Linked DNA regions of Tribolium castaneum. The main gene of each other region encodes a partner of the protein of the gene in region 2 in a complex. Links are inferred from orthologs where the notes say so. Each region holds a gene or a part of one and is shown on either strand. Other genes may lie near its edges.

Region 1 (4,270 bases), on a different chromosome or scaffold from region 2:
TTATGTTTCTGTTTTTTTTTTTGCTTTTTTTGTAAGTTAATTCTTCGAAAATCATTTGAAAAAGTTATTTTATCTAGAGCGGTCTTGCTTTTATGTCATAATCTGACATTAAAACTGTCACTGATGTGTCAAATTTCGCGTTACAGCCTACTCTAGGTATATTTTTAGCTCGTTAAAAGTGACACTGACAGTGCTCATGTCTTATATTTGAATTTTTTAACCTTTTTTTAAATTAAAAAGCCGCGATATGTCGCCTATTACGCCCAAAATCGAAATCCCCCATCCATCAATGGGGCTGTGATCGGAATTATTACACAAAGTTATACAATTTTAAGTGTGTTGATGTTCAATTGTTTGGAAAGTTTAAAGGTAGATTGTTAGTGTTTTCTAAAGGCTTTATATCTTTATATCAGCTGAAGTATTAAAGTTTTTTACAAGTAAACAGTCTTTCATTGCGTCATAAGCTGCAGCCAACTGTCACCGGAATTAAGGTACATGAATGTTTTGCATGATTTTTTCTTATAACTTGTTTTGTTTTATTAATTGGTTGAGCTTATGTTGGCTAACAATTGGTTTGTTTAGTAGTTTTGCGTGATTTTAAGTTAATTTGTGATTTGGCCAATTTATTAATGATTTTTTGTTAGGGACGCACCAACCCTTCCTACTCAACATTCCATCCGAAGGCATTAAAGTCGAGCCCAGAGGTAATTTAATTTTATATTTTTCCCCGCTTTAGTGTTTTTTTCTAGATAAGGCGCCTTCGCCGTACGGCGGGCAGATGTTCGAGGCGCCCATCCCGAACGTGTCGCCCCATTACGTGGCCCCCACGCCCCCGGAAGCCCCTCTGTTCCAGAACGTGCTTCCGCCAATCGGAGGCATGATGAACTGGAATATGCCTTCGACTTCAGTAGTCGGCGATATGTTAAACATGAATTGGAATCCTTCCGCCCAAAATGATCTCAGTGGTGTTAATTTAAGTGAAACGCCAAGTGGTATAAGCAGTTTATTAAATCTGGACAATCAACAATTGGAGTTGAAACCGATTGACTTAAACTCGGGTGATTTAAGCATGCTTGAGACAAATAACTTGTCAGAGACTTTCACCCAAAATCTATCGCTTATGGACGAGAGTGAGGGGCGCCAGGAGCCGAATATGACTGATAGTTTAACGCGATTGGCCAATAGCGCGCTAGATAATATTTGCCAAGCTAGTGATATGTACAAGGGTGCTCCATGAAACCACCATTACTTAAGTCTAAGTAATGCAAAAGCGAGTTCAATATTTGACATTAAATATAACAGTACTGTGTACCGCCCTAAATTCAATGATAGTTTTCTTATAAAATTGTTAAGGTTTGTAGTTTAGTCTATATCAAGTTTATTTATACTGTGATTGTTTTTATATTTTACAAGATGCAATGTTATTTTATAAATCTGGCATAATAAATCTGTTTTATTGAGCGTGTTTGCGTTTGTTAATTGCATAAAAAGCGATCCTTTCGCCACAATCTAACCTCAAACGTCACTTTTGACAGCTGTCACTCAGGTTCTTTGTGTCCCTTTGGAGCCAATTAATTCAATAAACTTGTGCCGATGCCTTGATTCCCCCTAATTTTGAGTGTTTTTCACTCAGATAATGTAAATAATGCAAGTGAACGACCTTTCCTCAATTGATCCAAATGTGGATTACACGCAGGTAAGTCTTTGAAAAAAGCGACCCATTCGAGCAACAATCACGTCCAACTTCTCCACTTAGATTTTACCCATTCAACAAAAGCGCACGATTGCTTTTATCAATCATTTCGTAATGAATACGGTGTCGTTTTTAAACCATTTTGCACAGTCGTGTGAATCGCGTTTGATGGAATTCGAGTACAAACTGCAAGAAGTTGAGGCTTCTTTACTTATACTTGAGTCGCAAGTAAGTATTGAACAATGCTAGAATGCCTTAAGTTCCGATTATTTGGCGCAAAAGTGAGTCGGTTGTGTTAGTTAGGTTCAATTGCGCATTTAGAAGAAAACACTGCAAAGGACTCGCCTAAACAAAACGATTTAGATCTGCCTCCTGTTAAAGACGAGGAGACGCAAATTGAAAAAAATGTAGAGGTAGAGCCTGATGTTGCGTCAGACCCGCGATATCAACGCTTTTTCAAAATGTTGCAATTTGGGGTTCCCCCAGCTGCTGTCAAGCTGAAAATGCAAACAGAGGGACTTGACCCTTGCATATTGGAGTAAGTACTACTATCACTGGCGAATCAGCAACACGTCCGTTATTTTTTAGTTCCAAATCAACTGATACGCAAGACAGTTCCTCGGTTAATTAATTGTGTTAAAAAAACATTGTTAAAAGTATAAATAAAACACGTTATGAATTTTTACAAAATGTGTTTATTTAGTCAAACAATTAGAACTGAATCATTTGTCCCTTGCGCTTCTTGTCGCCACCCAATTCAAAGTGCTTGCAGCGTTTCAAGGGAATCTGTTTCCTATATTTACATTCAGTGCATTCCATCCTGAGCACGATTTTCTTGGTGGTTTTAGCCTAAAAACACACAATAGCCCCACACTCAAAGTAGGTAAAAAAATACCTTCTTCCTGAAGATGGGCTTGGTTTGTCCACCGAAACCTTGCTGCTTCCTGTCGTAACGTCTCCTACCTTGCGAAGCGTGACGTTCCTTGGACTTTTTGTATTGGGTGACTTTGTGCAACTTGTGCACCTTGCATTTCTTGCAGAAGGTGCGCCTCTGCTTCGGGACGTTAACCTAAAAACAATGACATAACCCCACAATTCATCAAACGTCCTCAAAACGCGAAAATAAACAGGAATGTGCCCTTCCAAGGACGCCAAATGCACGAATTCGCTAAATTTTCGGTAATTCAAAGGCCGATTATTGCGATTTTTTGAGATATTTGATTGAAAACCTGCTTACCATCTTGGGATTTTCTTTATTGCAAAAAAAAGAGAGAGATGCAACGTGTCACACTATGCGCATGCGTCGTTTACATTGGCGCGAATTTTGAATTGCTATATTGGATGAAAGATAGAAAAGTGTTTCGTTATAAGTTTATAGAGTTTTAATTCGTTTCACGTGGTCGCAAGGAAAAATAGAAGAAAAAGTTTTTAAGACGCATTTTTGCGGCCACAAGGGAAAGGCGTTTTAATTAGTGGGTAACAAGTCGTGCCGAATAGTTCCCTTTTAAATTGAGTCAATAATCGGCTGTTTTTCTGCATAATAATAAAATGAATGTGATTGTGGAGGGAAATTTTTTGAAGAGCGCCCCTGGCGGTGGCATACTCAAACCACGTTTTTAATCTCGGTCCGGTTCGTAAAACTCAATCCGTGCTCTCGGAACCCTCATGAGCAAACACCTTGCAATTAATTTCATAAAATCTGGCGCACGTTTTTTGGGTCCGAGACACCGAAAAAGCTTGGAATTTGTTGTCTTTTGGTTTTTGGCGGTTGGTGTGAATAAATAGTTTAGGGAGTCGAAAGCCGGTCACTCGTCCAAGTCCGGGGCCGATCGGTTTGAGCGGCGCCATCTTAATTTTTGAACAAAGCTAACGAGTAGCCGGTCAGTAGTGTTCAACGTTGGTGAACGTCACTTTTCGATAAAGCGTGAAACCCACACAGGAATATAAACAAAATGAGTTCGAAAGAAAATAACGAAGTTGCTGTCGAAAAAATCGACAACGACAAAAGTGCGCCCGACGCCAAATGCGAGTTAAAAGGCACGAAGCGAGCGGCGGAGGTGAGTTCGACTGTTTCTTTCGCATTTACGCTGCTTTGCGATAAGGTCACATGGCCGTTGGATGTTGTGGTCGGGATTTTCGCGTGGAAAACGCGCGGAAACGCCGTTTTCACGCGTTTTCCGCGGGATGGTTGCCATGTGAACGGGGCTTTTTCCCGGCGCGGAGGCGGCTTTGCGACAATACGATGCTAAATTTGTTGTTGCCATGGTGTTTTCGACTGTTTTTCATTATGGCATGCGGTGTAAACACGCTTGGAAAGCATCCCGCCATATACAATGGACCCCGGGTTGAGGCTAGCATCGCTTGCTCGATTCAATATGGCGAAATCAATAGCAACTTGGAGGCGTCCTCGTGCGAGGCTAGATGCCACACTAATATTTTAATAACATCGGATTCTAGAAAGATTTCCGCGTGCGAGTTGACGATTTCGTTGCAAATTTCACGATAACCCGGAGATTGACCACTTTGGTCCGGTTTTTCAATGCAAAGCGTCTCATAAAGCTCGCTGGAATCAACAGA
Region 2 (3,481 bases):
TTAACGCCCCAGCGGGGCGTTACAAATCTGACGTTTATCTTTTACCGAAAAAAATGGGTATTGACCTTAGGTTTGAGTGGGAAAAATTCTAATCAAAGTTTTATAGATGAGTATGTAGCGAGTTTACATTTACCGACCTTTGATGCCCACTTGACTGAATTGACGGACGAACAGGCTAAGTATATGGGCCTAAATAAAGCTGGACCTTTCAAGCCTAACTATTATAGGTAAGCGGGTTTGGCTTGATTGCCGATTATTGATGTTTTCGTTTAAGGTATTAAAAATATAAAGTTTTATCCATAATAAACGGGGTGAAGGAATAAAGGAACACGGTAGCATTAAGTCAATGTTAGTTGTTGCCAGATAGTTTAGCTATAATAAATGCAGGATTGATCATTTTTTAATGGTTGCTCAACCAATTCATGTTTCATAATTTTACTGAATCAAAAGTATTATTACTTAACACAAACAGTATTTTTTCTGCTAGTATTTATTTACATATCTCAGGATTTTATGAAACATTAATTGTGAAAAAATCGTTACGTTGTTTCAACTGTTGATTCATGGGTAAGGCTTCTGATCTTATTTAATTTTAATAAAAATTGGCGCAATGTTGAAACGCCTTCCCGTGAATAAAAATACGTTACTTACATGTTTGAAACAAAACTCGTGCATATGTAATCACTATCAGGTCTAGTATGTCATTGTTTTAGTTGTATTAAGTTACGTACTTAACTCGTTCTGGTTTTATTAATGGATTTAATAAGTGTATCTGATTGATTTTGTGATGAAGTCCAATGGTTTGTTTGTTTTGTCTCATCCCAGACGCTAGTCCAGTTGAATTGATACGCTTTTTATTAAGTAGTGCCAACACCCTCTAGCACTAAAATAATTTAAATGCAACCAGTTTGTTTAGCCGTTTTGACGTTAGTGATTTTGGAAAGTATTATTTTATAATGAGGATTTTTTACGGTCCTCCACATTTTAAATTATTATTGTTATTGTCAATATTACGACAAATTGTTACAAGTTAATTGCTCTACTTGAAGAAATTACTGAAGCAATTATACTCCACAATAACTTGCCTTTATCAACTTACAGCAGAGCAATCAACAACTCTTGTTAAGAAACCGGAATTGCGACTCTGTTTTTGAAGGCTGTTTTAAGGCTTTCAAAGACAGAATTGTCACATTTTTAAACGTACTTCTGTATACAAATTATCTTTAGATCTATATCTTTCTTTCGATATTTTATTTTAATCCACAAATCACATCATTCACAGCGTGACCCACGGGTCCGCCGTCTTCTTCTTTCTATGCCGTAATATAGAAATTAATACGTCAATGTGTTTTATTTTTATTCCTAAAACCTAAAACAATTTTTTGTCCTAACACAATTTGAAATTACTAGTAAATGTTAATTTATTGAGCTTGCGAATGGCGACACTGCTGTGATAAGATGACGTAAAAAACAAAACATAACCTGCAAAAAGTGTAGAGTGTAGTGTCATTTTTTTAATTAATTAATGTAGTTAGTTTATTTAAAATGAATCATGTTTACAAAGTACCTGTAATCCCTCAAAACTTGAATAAACAGGAAACAATCGTTCAGGTGGCTGAAGTATTAAATCATTTAACGAACGTAACAGATGACATATTAAAACATATAAATAACAGAATTGAATCTAGCAGAAAAAAGATATCAAACATATCCGAACGTGTCGATAAAGTGAAAATGAAAATAAACAAATTGAACGGTGCAAAAAAAGCAACACAAGTGTTTTCAAGTTGTAAATACCCAGCGTCCGATGTAAATCAACCCTATATTTCAATATTTAGCGACGTTAAACCTCCTGAATTAGTACGACATAAAGTGAAGCAGAAAAAAGCCCCATCAAACGATGAACATTTAGATAAATTGTACATCTACCACGTGAAACTCAAAAAAAATGAGAACAAAGAGACGTTCGGCGGCTTGGGGGAAATCCCCAAAGACTCGGAATGCGTAAACGACCTACTCCTCTACAATTCCGGCAAAAACCTCTACACGAATTTCGTAATGTCCGACCCTTTGGAAATCTCCCAACAAATCAAAGAACAAGACCACAACGACAGTTCGAGCATCGGGGCAGCCCCCTTCTCAATCAGCGAACGCTCAACCCTGACGCGCTCCTCCACCCAGAACTACTTCTACACCCCCAACTTGGGGGAAGTCCCGGCGCTCGACGTGCCCCTGGATCTGCCCGATTTGCCCAACATTGCCGACGACCTGCGGTACGACACGGAGTTGGGCCCCGGGATCGCCCCCTCAGTCACCACGACCCCGAACATCCCCGACCTGCCCACAATCGAACCCGCCAACCCCCAGCCCAAGGAGGACTTCCCCGAAATCGAACTCCCGCCGCCCCCAACACCCGCCAAAGAAATTGAGGAGCAAGTCCCAGAGAAGGTTGAAACGCCCAAACCGCCCACACCACCCACTGAACAGGTGGAGGAAGCCCCCAAAATCACCGAACTGCCCCAGCTGGACGTGCGGGCCAGCCTCATGGAGGCCATCAGGAAAGCGGGGGGCGCCAAAAATTTGAAAGCCACAAGTGCCGACAGGGAGCAAACGACGGCAAAACCCGTGGTTAGTTTTCGACTTTTGTTGATTGAAAAAGTTTAATAATTAGTTATTTGTTTTACAGACTGGGGGCGACTTGATGGCTGATTTGCACGCCAAGCTTTCCATGCGCAGGAAGGGCATCTCAGGTACTAAAAAGCAGGAAAGTTTGGACGCAAGTAGTGCGTTAGAAAAAATCTCGGCCATGATTCCGCCGCCCATTCGTAGCGAGAGCAACGAGAATAATACCGAAGACGAAGACTGGGATGATTAATTCATTTAATATTATATTTTATATCAATAAATATTATCATGTTACATAATGATTGTTTTCTTTACCCAATAAATTAATACAATTGTGCGCTAACTGTAGCAGGAATAACAAACTGCGACATTATGATCGTATCTAAAAAAAAACATTTAATTTTTTGAGCCACTCGGAACAAAGCCACTCACGTGGGAAATGAGCAATCGTTACAAAACCCATTACTGCATTTATGGCACATATTTGTGCACTGCAAACATAACGCGTGTTCACAATAGTTACAAATGACCCCCGAGGGGGCTTCTTTTGAACATACAGTACACATCAGTGAATGAGGTTCCTACAAATCAAATTAATAAAGTCTCACACCGATTCACATATTCTACCTCATTTTTCTCGCGTTTGGAGGCCCCCTTATATAATAACTGGAGCGTCCGCTCTGAAACAAATAATAAAAAACTGACATAACCTCAATGTGGTTACCTGACGACGATGAGCGAATTTTCCGCGATTTTGATAAACTATTTTGTTGTTTTTTCACCGGTTGTACGATATCGTAATCCGGATAAGGCCGTTTTGGCATTTTTTACTCTTAAATTACATTTCAAATCCTCA

Evidence for each region.
Region 1: wash (region 2) and CCDC53 share a complex: the UniProt entries of both Drosophila melanogaster proteins name them as parts of the WASH complex. The link is inferred for Tribolium castaneum from reciprocal best matches to the Drosophila melanogaster genes wash and CCDC53.

What each region holds. Positions count from the first base shown.
Region 1 is NC_087402.1:711,167-715,436, reverse strand, and holds CCDC53 (WASH complex subunit 3), read left to right. Parts: upstream 1-1,514; 5' UTR 1,515-1,645; coding exon 1,646-1,696; intron 1,697-1,756; coding exon 1,757-1,921; intron 1,922-1,992; coding exon 1,993-2,231; intron 2,232-2,281; coding exon 2,282-2,324; 3' UTR 2,325-2,404; coding exon of another isoform or gene 2,405-2,542; 3' UTR 2,543-2,588; coding exon of another isoform or gene 2,589-2,762; 3' UTR 2,763-2,930; coding exon of another isoform or gene 2,931-2,933; 3' UTR 2,934-3,645; coding exon of another isoform or gene 3,646-3,750; 3' UTR 3,751-3,751; downstream 3,752-4,270. Other genes in the region: RpL36A (large ribosomal subunit protein eL42), read right to left, coding at 2,405-2,542, 2,589-2,762, 2,931-2,933; acidic leucine-rich nuclear phosphoprotein 32 family member B, read left to right, coding at 3,646-3,750. UniProt on the Drosophila melanogaster protein: Acts at least in part as component of the WASH complex which may regulate wash nucleation-promoting factor (NPF) activity and is required for its membrane targeting during endosomal sorting.
Region 2 is NC_087403.1:4,501,353-4,504,833, reverse strand, and holds wash (WASH complex subunit 1), read left to right. Parts: upstream 1-1,444; 5' UTR 1,445-1,545; coding exon 1,546-2,628; intron 2,629-2,686; coding exon 2,687-2,875; 3' UTR 2,876-2,924; downstream 2,925-3,481. Other genes in the region: adenosylhomocysteinase-like 1, read left to right, coding at 1-57, 107-227, 275-281; uncharacterized protein LOC103314773, read right to left, coding at 2,965-3,007, 3,058-3,206, 3,253-3,305, 3,350-3,449. UniProt on the Drosophila melanogaster protein: Acts as a nucleation-promoting factor by activating the Arp2/3 complex to induce actin polymerization. Participates in both linear- and branched-actin networks.